Linked DNA regions of Anolis sagrei. The protein of the gene in region 2 purifies or fractionates together with the protein of the main gene of each other region. This does not show direct contact. Links are inferred from orthologs where the notes say so. Each region holds a gene or a part of one and is shown on either strand. Other genes may lie near its edges.

Region 1 (8,003 bases), about 210 Mb from region 2:
AATAAGTTTGTGCATAAAGAAAAATTGTGTATTTTAAACTATTAGAAAACAGAGGTGCAACTCCACTGGACACCCATATAGACAATACTGGAGTGTTTTGGAATTCTGGATGAGGGATGCTCAACCTGTAATAACAAACAAGTACTAAAAGTTTCAGTGATATGTTGTAAAACAAATCAGGACCTTTTGCTAGCATCTTCCCACTTTCCAAGCCAACTAGTCAGTGACTGGCACTACCTGCTTGGAGAATACTTGGAACCAGGAATGCATTGCATTTCAGACTTGCCCCCCAGATTTTGGTTTACATGTATTTGCATACACATTCATCATGACTTATCTTGGAGATGGGACCCAAATACAGAACGAATGCTTGATTCAAATGCATAGCCTGAAGGTACATTCATATAATATTTTTTATCATTCTGTGCATGAAAGAAAGTGTGTATATGCGTAACTATCCAAAAGCAAAGGTGCCACTATCTCAGCCCTCTAAATTGTCAGTTTTGGAATATAGCAGACTCTTGGCTAATTGAAACTTTAAAAACTGGAAGTCTCAAGTAACATGCCAAAACTTCAAGGAAATAATACTTTACATAACAATTTAAATACATGTTTTATACTGCCTTGGAGTATGTTGGAGGCTCCTGCCATGGAGGCTTTTAAGCAGAGGATGGATGGCTATCTTTCTGGCATGTTGATTGCCTGAGGCCATTAAATGCTAATCAAAGTAGCCAACTGCAACATTCACACTTGCCTCAAGCAGACAGGAGTTCTTTCTCCCACCCTGGGTATTTCAGAGATATATAAACCTCACTTGCCTAGTTTCCAACAGATCTCACAACCTTTGATTATGCCTGCCATAGATGTGGGTGAAACATTAGGAGAAAATGCTTCTGGAACATGGCCATACAGCTCAGAAAACTCACAGCAACCCAATGTTGATTGTGCTTTACCTGCATGGTGGGGGTTTGACTGGATGACCATGCGGTGTCTTCCAACTCCATGATTCTATGTTAAGTTTGCCTGAATTTGCTTTGAATTACTGTGTTTCAATATTAAATATCAAATCAAGAAGCATTTATGGCAATGTTTCTCAACCTGAGGAGTCATGAGGGGATGTCAGAGGGGTCTCCAATGACCATCAGAAAACACAGTATTTTCTGTGGGTTATAGGGGTTCTATGTGGGAAGTTTGGCCCAATTCTCTCGTTGATGGGGTTCAGAATGCTCTTTGATTATAACTCAACTATTAATCCCAGCAACTACAACTCCCAAATGTCAATGTCTATTTTCTCCGAACTCCACCAATGTACACATTTGGGCATATTGAGTATTTGTGCCAAGTTTGGTCCAGATCCATCACTGTTTTGAGTCCACAGTGCTCTCTGGATGTAGGTGAACTACAACTCCTAAACACAAAGGTCAATGCCCACCAAACCCTTCCAGTATTTTTTGTTGGTCATGGGAGTTATGTGTGCCAAGTTTGGTTCAATTCCCTCTTTGGTGGAGTTCAGAATGCTCTTTGATAAATCCCAGCAAATATCACTCCCAAATAACAACATTAAACCCCACCCCCACAACTCCACTAGTTTTGTAATTTGGGTGTATTGGGTATTTGTGCCAAATATGGTCCAGTGAATGAAAATACATCCTATATATCAGAAATTTGCACGATTCATAACAGTAGCAAAATTATAGTTACGAAGTAGCAAGGAAAATAATGTTATGGTTGGGGGACACCACAAAAGAGGAACTGTATTAAGGGGTCATGGCATTAAGGAGGTTGAGAAACACTGATTTATGGCATGGTCTAAATCTAAGAGGGACTTTCAAGCAACAAGAAACAACATTAATCTGGCACCTACCAGTCCCCATGGATGCTGGTGAACTGAGAGCCTAATGTATATGCTGAACTATACAAAAGCAGAGATGCCACTCTCTCAGCCACCTATGTGAACAATTTGGGAGTATTTTGGGATTCCGGATAAAGGATACTCAACGTGTCATAATGACAAAGAGATCCTTAAAGTTGTCTGCTTTGAGTGGTGCATTTAGAAAACAGGACCCTTGGCTGACGTCTCCCCATGTTTTTAAGTTAATTAGTCCATGGAGTTTGTGTAGTAAGGCTACCTGCTCAGAGAATGCCTAGTTCAATACAGTCCTGTCAAAGGGAGGGAATGAGGAACCAAGGTCAGTTTCCCACATGTGTAAGGGAGAAAAGGGGGGGGGAGTCTCCAAGTATCCCCCCTCCCAAAGTGTCAAAGGGCTTTCCCCTCCTTGCCCAAAAGGGCTGCCACCTTTGTGGAGGGGAAGAGTGCCTTTCTCTCCCGACGTTGGCATATTTCAAAAGTTTCGGGGTAAAAAGGGGGGTGGGGAAAGAGAGAAGATGGAAGAGGGGGCGGGGAGTGCGTCAGACCCATAGAGAGGCATGCAGCTCACCCAGCCACTCACCCACCCACGAGGGCGCCCTGCTGCCAAAGTCATGCAGAATGGCTCCCATGCTAGAAGCAGCGCCCTTCGGGGGGGGGGGGCTCACTGGGCAGCCCCCCCCCCCCCACACACACACACCCCTCCATCTTCCCATTGCCCCTCCCTTTAAGATTGCCTCCCTCCCTCCCTCCCCCTTCCTTTCTCAGGTGCCAGCCAGCCAGGTGCGCCCCAGGCCGGGAGAGGAGGAGGAGGAAGGAGAGGGGTCTCCAAAAGCAGGGGTCTCTCACCTCCTTCTGCTTGGGGTCCTGCGGGTAGACGTCGGGGGGGCCCAAGCGGGACCGCTTGAGGGGTCTCTGCTCATAGCTCAGGAGCCCGAAGGCGGCCATGATCTTGCATGTTAGCCGGCGAAATGAATGAGAGAGAGAGAGAAGAGAGAGTTGGAGAGATGGAGCAGGCTCTGAGCACCAGGGAGCAGCACTTGGCTGGCAGACAGATAGACAGGCAGAGAGAGAGAGAGATAGACAGACAAGCTGGCTTCCCCCTCTGGCTCTTTTTTCCCCCTACAGGGAAGACGGCAGGCACAGAGGGAGGGAGGGAGGGGGGCAAGGGCTGGGATGCTGCTGCACCAATGCAACCCAACCCACCCACCCACGGAGGCTAAGGATGCCACCCCCACAGAAGTGCCCAGCAGCAAGTGAAGAAGAAAGAGAAAGGAGGGGGAGGAAAGGAACACATTGTATACAATGTTCTGGGGAGGGGGGTGTACCTAGGGGAAGGGGACCTACATACAGAGGGAGAGAACATCTTATTCCCTCCTCTCCCTGCAGCTGCAAGCGTTCCGCTCTTTCAACCTAGGCCAAGTTTCACTGCAAGCTTTGTCATTATTAATACAGTAGACTCAGTTAACTAGCACCCAAGGGGATTAATAGATGCCGGATAAAGGCAGTTTCTGGTTGCTTGAGAGTTACTATTAAAAATCAGCCTAACTGATATTGATATTAAAAACGAATAATAATAATAATAATAATGCAATAGACTCGGTTAACTGGCACCCAAGGGGATTAATAGATGCTGGATAAATGTAGTTTCCGGATGCTTGAGAGTTACTATTAAAAATCAGCCTAGCTAATATTATACTATATCATAAACTCTGGCTTGGCTTGATATTGATGTTGAAATGCAGTAATTAAAACAAAATAATAACAACAACACAGTAGAGTAGGTTAACTGGCACCCAGAGGGATCAGTAGGTGCTGGATAAATGCAATTTCTGGTTGCTTGAGAGTTACTATTAAAAAGCAGCCTAACTAATATTATACTATATCATAAACTCTGGCTTGGCTTGATATTGATGTTGAAATTCAATAATTTAAAACATAATAATAATAATAATAATACAGTAGAGTCGGTTAACTGGCACCCAAGGGGATTAATAGATGCCGAATAAATGTAGTTTCTGGTTGCTTGAGAGTTACTATTAAAAAGCAGCCTAACTGATATTTTACTATATCATAAACTCTGGCTTGGCTTGATATTGATATTGAAATGCAGTAATTAAAAACTAATAATAATAATAATAATAATAATAATAATGTAATAGACTAGGTTAACTGGAATCCAGGGGGATTGGTAGATGCAGGATAAATGTAGCTTCTGGTTGCTTGAGAGTTACTATTAAAAAGCAGCCTAACTAATATTATACTATATCATAAACTCTGGGTTGGCTTGACATTGAGGTTGAAATGCAGTAATTAAATCCAAAATAACAAGAACAACAATAACAACAACAACACAGTAGACTAGGTTAACTGGCACCCAGGGGGGATTGGTAGATGCTGGATAAGTGCAGTTTCTGGTTGCTTGAGAGTTATTATTAAAAATCGGCCTAACTAATATACTATATCATAAACTCTGGATTGGCTTGTTATTGATATTGAAATGCAGTAATTAAAAATAAATAATAATAATAAAATAATACTTTATTTATAACCCACCCCATCTCCCCAAAGGGACTCAGGGCAGTTTCCAGCAAAAGTATCAAAGTGGCAAACATTCAGTGCCAAAAACAAACAAACAATAAATCAAAACAGTGGATAAAAATCTCAACATAAAATTATAAAACTATCAAAATAAAACCCAAAAATTAAACTTAAATAAACATAACACAGGCCCGCTGGTAGTGCATCAGGTTAAACCGTTGAGCTGTTGAACTTGCTGACCGAAAGGTTGTGAGCTCCCACTGTTAGGTTCAGTTTCTGCTAACTTAGCAGTTCGAAAAACATGCAAATGTGAGTAGATCAATAGGTACTACTTTTGTGGGAAGGTAAGGGTGCTCCATACAGTCATGCTGGCCACATGACCTTGGAGGTATCTATGGACAATACCAGCTCTTTGACTTAGAAATGGAGATGAGCACCACTCCTCTCCCACCCCAGAGTCGGACACGACTAGACTTAATGTCAGGGGAAACCTTTACCTTTACCTAAACATAACATAACACAGAAACACCTCCTTGATGTAACATTTCCTCCAAGGTCATGTGGCTGGCATGACTGCATGCAGCACTGTTACCTTCCCACTGGAGCGGAGTGGACCTTCCCACTCCCTGGATTCAAACTGCTGACCTGTCAGTCAGCAAGTTCAGCAGCTCTGTGATTTAACCCACTGCACCACTGGAGGGTCTTAATTTTTAGTTAAAGCACAGTATTATTTCTTCATTTTTTGTCAGTTGTTTGAGAGTTCCGGTTAACGGAAAGTCTACTGTATTAATATGATCATGTTTATCTTAATTGTTCTTCATATGGTAGTCATCTCTTAGATTCTGCATCCACAGATTGGACCACTCATAACTTGGAAATATTTTGGAGGGGAAATAATCCAAAAAGCAAACTTTGATTTTGTTGCACTTTTGAGCACTACATTGATGTGTATACATGCCCTGCTGTTATCTCTTACCATTTCATGGATCATCAGGCTGCATCTATACTAAGCATGCGCAAACTTTGGCCCTCCAGGTGTTTTGGACTTCAGCTCCCACAATTCATAACAGCCTACACTGTGGAATTAATGCAATGCTTTGGAGACATGGGAGTTATAGTTTTACAAGGACTTTAAGGTTGTTGGTTTTTTTGCCAGTGTGTTGGTTCCTAAACAAACAAGTTTCTATGATTCTATAACACTTGGCCCTGGCAGATAAAGTACTGTAATCACAAAGTGCATTAATTCTACAGTGTTTGCTATTTTATATAAGGGATGCTCTCTTACTGCACTGCTGTATGTAATGGGATTTGAGCATCCACAGATGTTGGTCTCCATAGGGGTCCTAGAACCATCCTGAGCAGATACTGAGGGCTCACTGTGTTGTTATTGTCATCACTATCAATATAATCTTCTGTCAAAGATGTGATTCCATTGGCAGCAGCAACATCCTCCCCATGAGATGGTCCCTGTGGGATAATGTTGTGAGAATTTTATATCCCAGTTGAGAAGGGAAACAGTACACAATGTTCTACAAACACTCTCGAATACACAGGATCATAGCCACACTGTCTGAATCAGAAAGAACTAGCTCACCCAGTTTTATACCCAGAGTTGCTAACATGGCCTAGAGATAGATTTTCGTTTCATCTATAAATTGCTCCCAGAGAGTGTTTAAAAGACCTGCCTGCTCTTAAGTGCAATGGTATTGTTAAATTATAGAAGAACTAAGCCACATAACTGACTGAGCTTAATGAAGTGCCTATACTGGGGAATCAGTGTGATATGTGCTTGTTTCAAACCATTCATATATTTTCACCACCTGAAAATCCATGTCAGTCCAAAGAAACAACTGTGAGAAACAGATTAGGATGAGTGCGCATCTCTGTAGGTGGATAATAGGTTCACAGAATCATAGAATCATAGAGGTGGAAGAGTCCTCATGGGCCATCCAGTCCAACCCCCTGCCAAGAAGCAGGGAAATTACATTCAAAGCACCCCCGACAGATGGCCATCCAGCCACTCTTTAAAAGCCTCCAAAGAAGGAGCCTCCACCACGCTCCGGGGCAGAGAGTTCCACTGCCGAACAGCTCTCACAGTCAGGAAGTTCTTCCTAATGTTCAGGTGGAATCTCCTTTCTTGTAATTTGAAGCCATTGTTCCGCATCCTAGGGCTGCAGAAAACAAGCTTGTTCCCTCCTCCCATTGACTTCTATTCACATGGGTATCATGTCTCCTCTCAGCCTTCTCTTCTTCAGGCTAAACATGGCCAGCTCTTTAAACCGCTTCTCATAGGGCTTGTTCTCCAGACCCTTGATCATCGTTCGGGGCTCATTCCCCACAAAGTATAAAAGGTAGTGTGGCCATTAATGTTTAACCCAGACACTGATAATGGATGATGATGATCTCTGTGTGTGTACAGTAAACTCTCAATTAACCAGAATCCATGTGGATTGGTTGGTGCTAAGTTTCTGGTTGCTTGAGAGTTACTATTAAAATAAGCCTAACTACAGTAATACTATATCACCATACTTTATTTTTCCATGTCAGGAGTGACTTGAGAAACTGCAAGTCGCTTCTGGTGTGAGAGAATTGGCCATCTGCAAGGACATTGCCCAGGGGACGCCCGGATGTTTGATGTTATTACTATTCTTGTGGGTGGCTTTTCTCATGTCCCCACATGGAGAACTAGAGGGAGCTCAACCCGCTCTCCCCAGATTCGAACCATTGACCTGTCAGCAGTACTGATGAATCAACCTGGACACAGCATATTATTTGAGAACACAGAAATGCTGGGCCACTCTAACAACTACCATGTCAAACTACACAACCCATTGAAATCCACAAACATGTGGACAATTTCAACAGAAAGGAATAAACCATGAAAATGAATAAAATCTGACTACCAGTATTTTAAAAAACTCTAAAATAATAAGAGTAAATATTATTATTATTATTATTATTAACTTTATTTGTACCCCGCTAGCATCTCCCGAAGGACTCGATGCGGCTTACACAGGCCGAAGCCTCAAAACACAATACAATAGAAAACATAACACAACAATAAACAAAGCAAATCAAAACAATTAAGCAAAATAACCACAATGACAATACATCAATACATCAAGACACTATTAAATAAAGAACATTCAAAAATGGGAACTCCAGACAAGAAACCACCAGGAACAGCTAATCACCTTTCAACAAAGGATTTCCCCAGGCAGTAAGAAGCCAGACCTTGAAAACTGCTAGGCCATTAAATGCTAATCAAGATGGCCAGTTGAAACTTTCACACCTACCTCCAACAGTCAAGAGTTCTTTCTCCCACCCTGGACCTTCCCAAAGAGGTCCAACAGACCTCACAACCTCTGAGGATGCCTATCATAGATGCAGGCGAAACATCAGGAAAGAATGCTTCTAGAACATGGTCATACAGCCTGAAAAACATACAGCAACCCAGTACTTCAGAAAGGCTTGGCTCACATAGGTGTCATTTACATGTGAATATAGTTTTGGGATTTAAATGTCTGGCACAGTGAGTTAAACCTCTGAGCTGCTAAACTTGTTGACCGAAAGGTTGCAGGTTCGAAGCCAGGAA
Region 2 (7,710 bases):
GCTTTCGGGACAGGGCAATAAAGTGGCAATAGGAAAGATGACCAGGAAAATTAGATTTGATGTGGACGACTAGGACTGTTTTAAATGGTGTACTTTAAAATTTTGATAAATGTTTTTAATGTTTATGTATGTATATAAGAATTTGTGTCCCGGCAGTGAATGTTTGCCATATATATGCTGTGCCCCACCCTGAGTCCCCTTGGGGGTGAGAAGGGCAGAATATAAATGTTTTAAATAAATAAATAAAATTCAGTAAATAATAAAACTGATAAAAACATAGATCCTCTGCATCTCATTACCAAAATAATTCTCCAATTGCATTGTCCAGTCGTTCCGAGATCAGGGTTTGTCTGCTACACTGCATTTGAGAAAGCCTGCTCAAAAAAACAGGTTTTAACTTTTTTGCGAAATATTAAGAGGGTGGGGGCAGATCTAATGTCCCTAGGGAGGGCGTTCCACAGCCGAGGGACCACCGCTGAAAAGGCCCTGTCTCTCGTCCCCGCCAAACGAATCTGTGAACTAAGCAGCTCACCAGTAACTTTCTTGTCTCTACTTGAAGTTCCACACTTTACACCGGCCCGCATTTTACACTGGCATACGTTCTACCTCAATGTGCTTTATGACAGTATTTCCTGCCCAGTTGACTGTATTTTTGCACTTTCCTGCACTCCTGTAAAAATGTATTGCACTCATTGAATCTGTACCTCAGTTATGTTTCTTGCAGCCGTATTGTTTTTGATATTGCTTTCAATTGTGTCGCTATTTGTTTTATTTGATGTTTTGAATGGTTAAATTGTTTTACATGTGTGTTTCAATTGTAATCTTGGGCGTGTCCCTTTAAGCTGCCCCGAGTCCCCTAGGGGAGATGGTTGGCAGAGTATAAAAATAAAGTTATTATTATATTACTAGCTGTCCCCTGCCACGCGTTGCTGTTGCCCAGTCTGGTGATCTGGAAAATAAAGTAATGGTTTCTAATATATGTAATGTCTTTCTGCTTGTGGGTAAACAGTATTTCTTGCTGTTTCTTTGTCAGTGTTGAAGTGGAGAGTATCTGATTTGCCCATTCTGGAACATGCAACATATTATTGTCCTTCTTTAGGGGTCCCTTTCACATCTAGGATATTATATCTCTCTGTGTGTGAATCATATATATCTATATCTATGGCTGAATGTCTCTTTGTCAGGAGGGCTTTGATTAGATTTTCTTGCCCTGGTGAAGAGAGTTAGTCTGGATGGCCTTAAGTATTTTCTGTTGGTCATGGGGGTTCTGTGTGGGAAATTTGCCCCAATTCTGTCGTTTGTGGGGTTCAGAATGCTCTTAATTGTAGGTGAACTATTTATTTAGAAGTTTTATATTTATTTATTTATTTATTTAGAAGTTTTACATACCGGTCTTCTCACCTCCAAGGAGGGACTCAGTCTGGTTCACAACATGTTTTCATATACAGTAATATACAAAACAGCATAGTGCATCACCATTACACATTAAAATATAAGTACAATAAAAACTATAAATCCCGGCAACGACAGCTCCCAAATGTCAAGGTCTATTTCCCCCAAACTCCACCAGTGTTCACATTTGGGCATATGGAGTATTTGTGGCAAGTTTGATCTAGATCCTTCATTGTTTGAGTCCACAGTGCTCTCTGGATGTAGGTGAACTAAAAACCCCAAACTCACGGTCTATGCCCACCAACCCCTTCCAGAATTTTCTGCTGGTTGTGGGAGTCCTGTGTGTCATCTTTGGTTCAATTCCATCATTGGTGGGGTTCAGAATGCTCTTTGATTGTAGGTGAACTGTAAATCCCAAGAACTACAAATCCCAAATGACAAAACCCATGCTTTTTGAGTGATGGCCACTCCTTGGGGTAGTAGATGTATTGTGTCCAAATTTGGTGCCAATCCGTGCAGTGGTTTTTGAGTTCTGTTAACCCCACAAACGAACATTATATTTTTATTTATACAGATATGTATAAGAAGGCAGGACTGAGAGCAGGGCCTCCCCAGAGGATCTTAGATTCCTGGATGGTTCATAAGGAGAGCTATGTTCAGACGGATAAGCTAGGCCCAACTCCATTTGCTTTGTATTTAATTAAGGCCCCTTCCACATTTTTTGCTTTGAACCGGAATATATGGGAGTGTGGACTCAGGACCCATTCCTAACAGCCTCAGGCCCTTTCCTTTTCCCCCTCAGCCGCATAAGCGGCTGAGGGGGAAAAGGAAGGGGCCTGAGGCTGTTAGGAATGGTGGGAGTTGAAGTCCAAAACACCTGGAAAGTCCAATTTGGCTGAGGAGAAAAGGAAAGGTCCTGAGTCTGTTAGGAATGGTGGGAGTTGGAGTCCAAAACACCTGGAGGTCCCAAATTGGCTGAGGGGGGAAAGGAAGAGGCCTGAGGCTGTTAGGAATGATGGGAGTTGGAGTCCAAGGCACCTGGAGGGCCCAAATTGGCCCATGCCTGTCTCTAGATGGAAACAAGGCGGCCATGGGATGGCCATCCAGGCCTCCACCCCGGGAAGAAGGCTGCTGGCCCGACTCACTCACTCACCCGTCCTTCCGCTTGGCCTTGTAGACGTGCCCGTAGGTGCCCCTGCCCACCTTGCAGCCCTCGTACTCGAAGAGGTCCTCCACTCGCTCGCGCTCCCCGGTCAGCTTCACCTTGAAGTCATAGTCCATCTTCATTCAGAGGCCTGGACTCCTGGCCTTCGCCTCAGGAACCGGGGAGGAGGAGGAGGAGGAGGAAGAGGAGGAGGCCCCGCGACGCGGACCATCCAGGTGAGAGGAAGGGAGGGAGGGAGGAAAGGGCGGCGGCGTTGCTAGGAAGGAAAAAAGGCCCAAGGGTGCGGAGGCTGAGGGGGCCGCGGCCTCTTTCCTCCTCCTCTTTAGTCCTCCTCCTCCTCTTCCTTCTCCTCCTCCTCCTTCTTGTTCCCTCAGCCGGCTGAAGAGAGACCCCCAAGCGCCACAAGAGCCGGTATCTCGCTCCTCGGAATACGGCACTGCCGCAAAAGGAGAGCGCTGTCGTAAAGTCGCCCCTCCCCTCTCCTCACTCCTTCGGCACCACGTGGAAGCCGACCGGCCTTTTAGGCCACGCCCCTCCAGTGAAGCACTTTCCCCAGCATGCACCACGCGGAGAGAAAGATGCAAAGTGGAGTTTGCTTGGTCCCTTCCACACAGAATACCAAGGCAGAAGATCTCACAATATCTGCTTTGAACTGGGATATCAGAGTCCACACTGCCATATATTCCAGTTCAAAGCAGAAAATGTGGGATTTTATTCAACTGTGTGGAAGGGGGCTTAGTCCACACAGCCCTATATCACAGAATATCAAGGCAAAAAAATCTCCTAATGGTCTGCAGCCCCTCCCACAGCAAAAAGTTAGGTAAAATTGCATACCTGTAAGGGCAACGAAACCAAAATATTTTCCAAAAGTCTACATAGGCACCACCAAATGCAGCATTGCCCAGACACGCATCAAGGAACATGAAAGGCACTGCAGACTACTTCAACCAGAGAAGTCAGCCATAGCAGAGCACCTGATGAACCAACCTGGACACAGCATATTATTTGAGAACACAGAAATGCTGGACCACACCAACAACCAAAATGTCAGGCTACACAGAGAAGCCATTGAAATCCACAAGCAAGTGGACAATTTCAACAGAAAGGAGGAAACCATAAAGATGAACAAAATCTGGCTAAGAGTATTAAAAAACTCAAAAATTACAACAGCAAAACAACAGAGAGGAAACAATCAAGCACATCAATTCACTCTCAACAAGAGATTCCCCCCAGGCGCTTCCAGGCCATTGAATGCTAATCAAGGTGATCAGCTGAAACATTACCCTGGTCATTCCACAGATATATAAACCCATTTTCCCTACTTCCAACAGACCTCACTACCTCTGAGGATGCTTGCCATAGATGCAGGCGAAACGTCAGGAGAAAAATTGCCTCCAGAACATGGCCATATAGCCCGGAAAAACCTACAACAACCCAGTATTTCCCAAAAGGCAGAAGCCCCCTTTCCAGTAGGGAGGGCAAGGATGGACACCACAAAAGTTGAATCCTTTAAACTGCAAAAAAAACCTATTTATTATTGCGTGGCCATAGCAATAACGACAAACAAGCATACAGGGATGCAATCAAAGGGTTTGTCGCAACCCCAATGGGGCTGTAGAGCATTTATAGTAAATATAATATACATTTTCATTGGTTCCCAAAGACAAATCATTTCATTGGTCTAAGCTAGCTATGCAGTTGTTCATTATTTGTTTATGATTTTGATTGACATTATAGCACACGTGGGATCCTAACAATGGCACAACTATATCATAAATATGGTCCATTGTTCTCTGACCATGACTGTACCTTATCTGTTAGCCTGTTGCAAACATGGCTTCAGAGTGACTGGGAAACTTGGGGGTTCTAACTAGCCAACAGCTAGCTGGATTTGTCCAGATATACTGTTATCCTTGAATACTAACTTCTTTGGAGCATTGATTTCTCAAACAATCAGCATTTTCTGTGAATATAGGCCTACTGCAGAAATAGGCCAATATGGCAGTAAATCATGACATATGGGCATTGGGGAAATCTCTGAAAAATCCCTTTTTAAAACCACGTCTCCTCCATACCAACACACATACACACATTTACAGAAAACCCACACACAGAGATAGATATCTACATAAAAACTCCAACCATCACCCAAGTCATCTCAAGAACAGAGAAGCATCCTGAGCTCTGAAGATCACCTGGGAAGGAACCCCACTGGAGCATTGCAGCACACCCAAATACCTGGGAGTCACTCTGGACCGTGCTCTTACCTACAAGAAGCATTGCCTGAACATCAAGCAAAAAGTGGATGCTAGAAACAATATCATACCAAAGCTGACTGGCACAACCTGGGGGTCACAACCAGATACAGTGAAGACATCTGCCCTTGCGCTGTGCTACTCTGCTGCTGAGTATGCATGCCCAGTGTGGAACACATCTCACCACACTAAAACAGTGGATGTGGCTCTTAATGAGACATGCCGCATTATCACGGGGTGTCTGCGCCCTACACCACTGGAGAAATTACACTGTCTAGCCGGTATCGCATCACCTGACATCCGCCGGGAAGTGGCAGCCAATAGTGAAAGGACCAAGGCAGAGACATCTCCAGCTCATCCCCTGTTTGGATATCAGCCAGCACGTCAACGATTTAAATCCAGACATAGTTTTCTAAGATCTACAGAGACACTCGCTGGAACACCTCAGCAAGCGAGAGTCCAAAAGTGGCAGGCTCAAACCCAGAACCTCAACCAATGGCTGATACCAAATGAGAGACTCCCCCCTGGTCACACAGAGGACTGGGCGACTTGGAAGGTGCTGAACAGACTGCGCTCTGGCACCACAAGATGCAGAGCCAACCTTCAGAAATGGGGCTACAAAGTGGAATCCTCGACATGCAAGTGTGGAGAGGAGCAAACAACTGACCACCTGCTGCAATGCACCCTGAGCCCAGCCACATGCACAATGGAGGACCTTCTTGCAGCAACACCAGAAGCGCTCCAAGTGGCCAGATACTGATCAAAGGACATTTAATCAACTACCAAACTCACACATTTTGTATTTTCTCTGTTTGTTTGCTTTGTTCTGTTAGAAATGTAATATAATTGACTGGCTGCCCTGACACGAGAAATAAATACACAAGTCAAAAAAGAAGCACCAATTAAAGCCTTGGCAGACAGTGCAAAAAGAATCTGCGAACCCCACCTCCTTCAAGATGAACTGAACCACCTCAACTGTGCTCTCCAGGCCAATGGATACTCCACCTCAGACATCAGAAGAGCTGCAAGACCGAGAACAAGCCACGAGAGTAAAGATGAAGATCCACCCAGAGGAAAAGTGTTCTTGTCATACATCAAGGGAACCACTGACCGCATAGGGTTGGCTTTGAGCCCATCTTTAAATGTCTTCCAACATTCCTTTTTCTGTTCTTGAGTTCGGAATACAGCAACTGCTTTGGGTGGTCAGGCATCCAGACAACATGGCCAGTCCAGCGGAGTTGATGGCGGAGGGCCATCACTTCAATGCTTGTGATCTTTGCTTCTTCCTGCACGCTGACATTTGTCCGCTTGCCTTCCCAAGAGATTTGCAGGATTTTCCAGAGGTAGCACTGATGGTATCGTTCCAGGAGTTGCATGTGACATCTGTAGTCAGTCCATGTTTTGCAGGCATATAGCAGGGTTGGGAGGACAATAGCTTTATAAACAAGTACCTTGGTATCCCTATGGATGTCCCGGTCCTCGAACACACTCTGCTTCATGCAGAAAAATGCTGCACTCTCAGAGCTCAGGCGGTGTTGAATTTCAGTGTCAGTGTTGACTTTTGTGGAGTGGTGGCTGCCAAGGTAGCGGAAATGATCAACATTTTCTAAGTTACGCCATTGGAGAGGTATTGACTGGTGACTGCTGGAAGAGCACTTTGGTTTTCTCGATGTTCAATGACAAGCCGAGCTTCTCTTGAGATACTATAGGGCCTGTCTGAAAGGACCCATAGCTGTTAATTAGGTTAAAAGTACATTTTTTTCTTTATCTTGTAAATTCTTTTAATGTAGTGGAAAATCAAAAATTCAAAAAAGAAAAAAGATTGGAAGATGTCTTTGCAATAATAGATGCTGATTAGAAAATTGCAAACCATTTTTTATGTCTTGATGTTTTAATGTAGTGAAAGTTAAAAGATTGCAACATGTTTCTTTATTTTCTGGATTCTTTCAATGGAGTGAAAACTTATTTTTAAAAGGAAAAAAATACAAAAGGTTGGAAGTTGTTGCCGTAGAATTGATGTATCAACAAGAGATGATGACAAGGAGGTTGTAAGTCATTTTTTAAAAAGAAAGAAAATCTGGATTGTTTTTAATGTGGTGAAAGGTTATAATTATTTGTTACAAGGAAAACGTTTAGAGGTTGCAAGTAATATTTTCCTTTGTTTTCTAGAGTATTTCACTGTAGTGAAAACTTGTAATTATATTTTACAGGAAAATATTAAAAAGGAAGTTGTGGGTAAGGGTGTCTGGGTAATTTTGGTGCATGTTGGGAACTGTAGTTTGGAGCAGTGAAAGTTGCAGCCATTTAATTATATTAAATATATGCAATTATAGCAGCTGATAACGTTGAAAGTCATATTTCTTCTCCTAGATTTTTATTTAATGTAGTGAAAAGTTGTCATTATTTTTTAAAAGGAAGCTGGAGTTAAGGGTCTCTGGATTGTTTTGGTGCCTGATGGGACCTAGAGTTTGAAGCCTGGCTTGATGACATTCCAGCGGTAGAAGTCAGAGACTGGAGCATGATAGGAACTGAGATCTTTGGGGTTTGTGGCTCCATCCCCATGGAAACACATTCCGGAAGGGTAACAGTGTGGAATGGAACGGAAGTGCAAACTGAGGACAGAGATTGCCTTGAAAGGCCATCTGTTAAATGGAATTGTGGGAGTTGTGGCCCAAAAATTGTGAGAGAAGACGTCGTTTTCCACTTTGGTTCAGATCTTTCAGGTTGAGCATCCCTTATCCAAAATGAAATAGTCCACATTTCAGATTTATTTTTTTTATTTTGGAATACTTAAATATACATAATGCTTATCTCAGAGGTGCAGCCCATGCCCAAATGCGAAATTCATTTATGTTTCATATATAACAGATTCGCATAGCCTGAGAGTAATTTTATATA

Evidence for each region.
Region 1: the proteins of CDK8 (region 2) and MED12L purify together in Homo sapiens (affinity purification with mass spectrometry; 3 studies listed by BioGRID and IntAct, counting the BioPlex papers as one, with this or other methods). This does not show direct contact. The link is inferred for Anolis sagrei from reciprocal best matches to the Homo sapiens genes CDK8 and MED12L.

What each region holds. Positions count from the first base shown.
Region 1 is NC_090023.1:241,542,649-241,550,651, reverse strand, and holds the start of MED12L (mediator of RNA polymerase II transcription subunit 12-like protein), read right to left. Parts: upstream 3,010-8,003; 5' UTR 2,816-3,009; coding exon 2,717-2,815; intron 1-2,716. UniProt on the Homo sapiens protein: May be a component of the Mediator complex, a coactivator involved in the regulated transcription of nearly all RNA polymerase II-dependent genes.
Region 2 is NC_090023.1:30,600,423-30,608,132, reverse strand, and holds the start of CDK8 (cyclin-dependent kinase 8), read right to left. Parts: upstream 3,016-7,710; 5' UTR 2,680-3,015; coding exon 2,546-2,679; intron 1-2,545.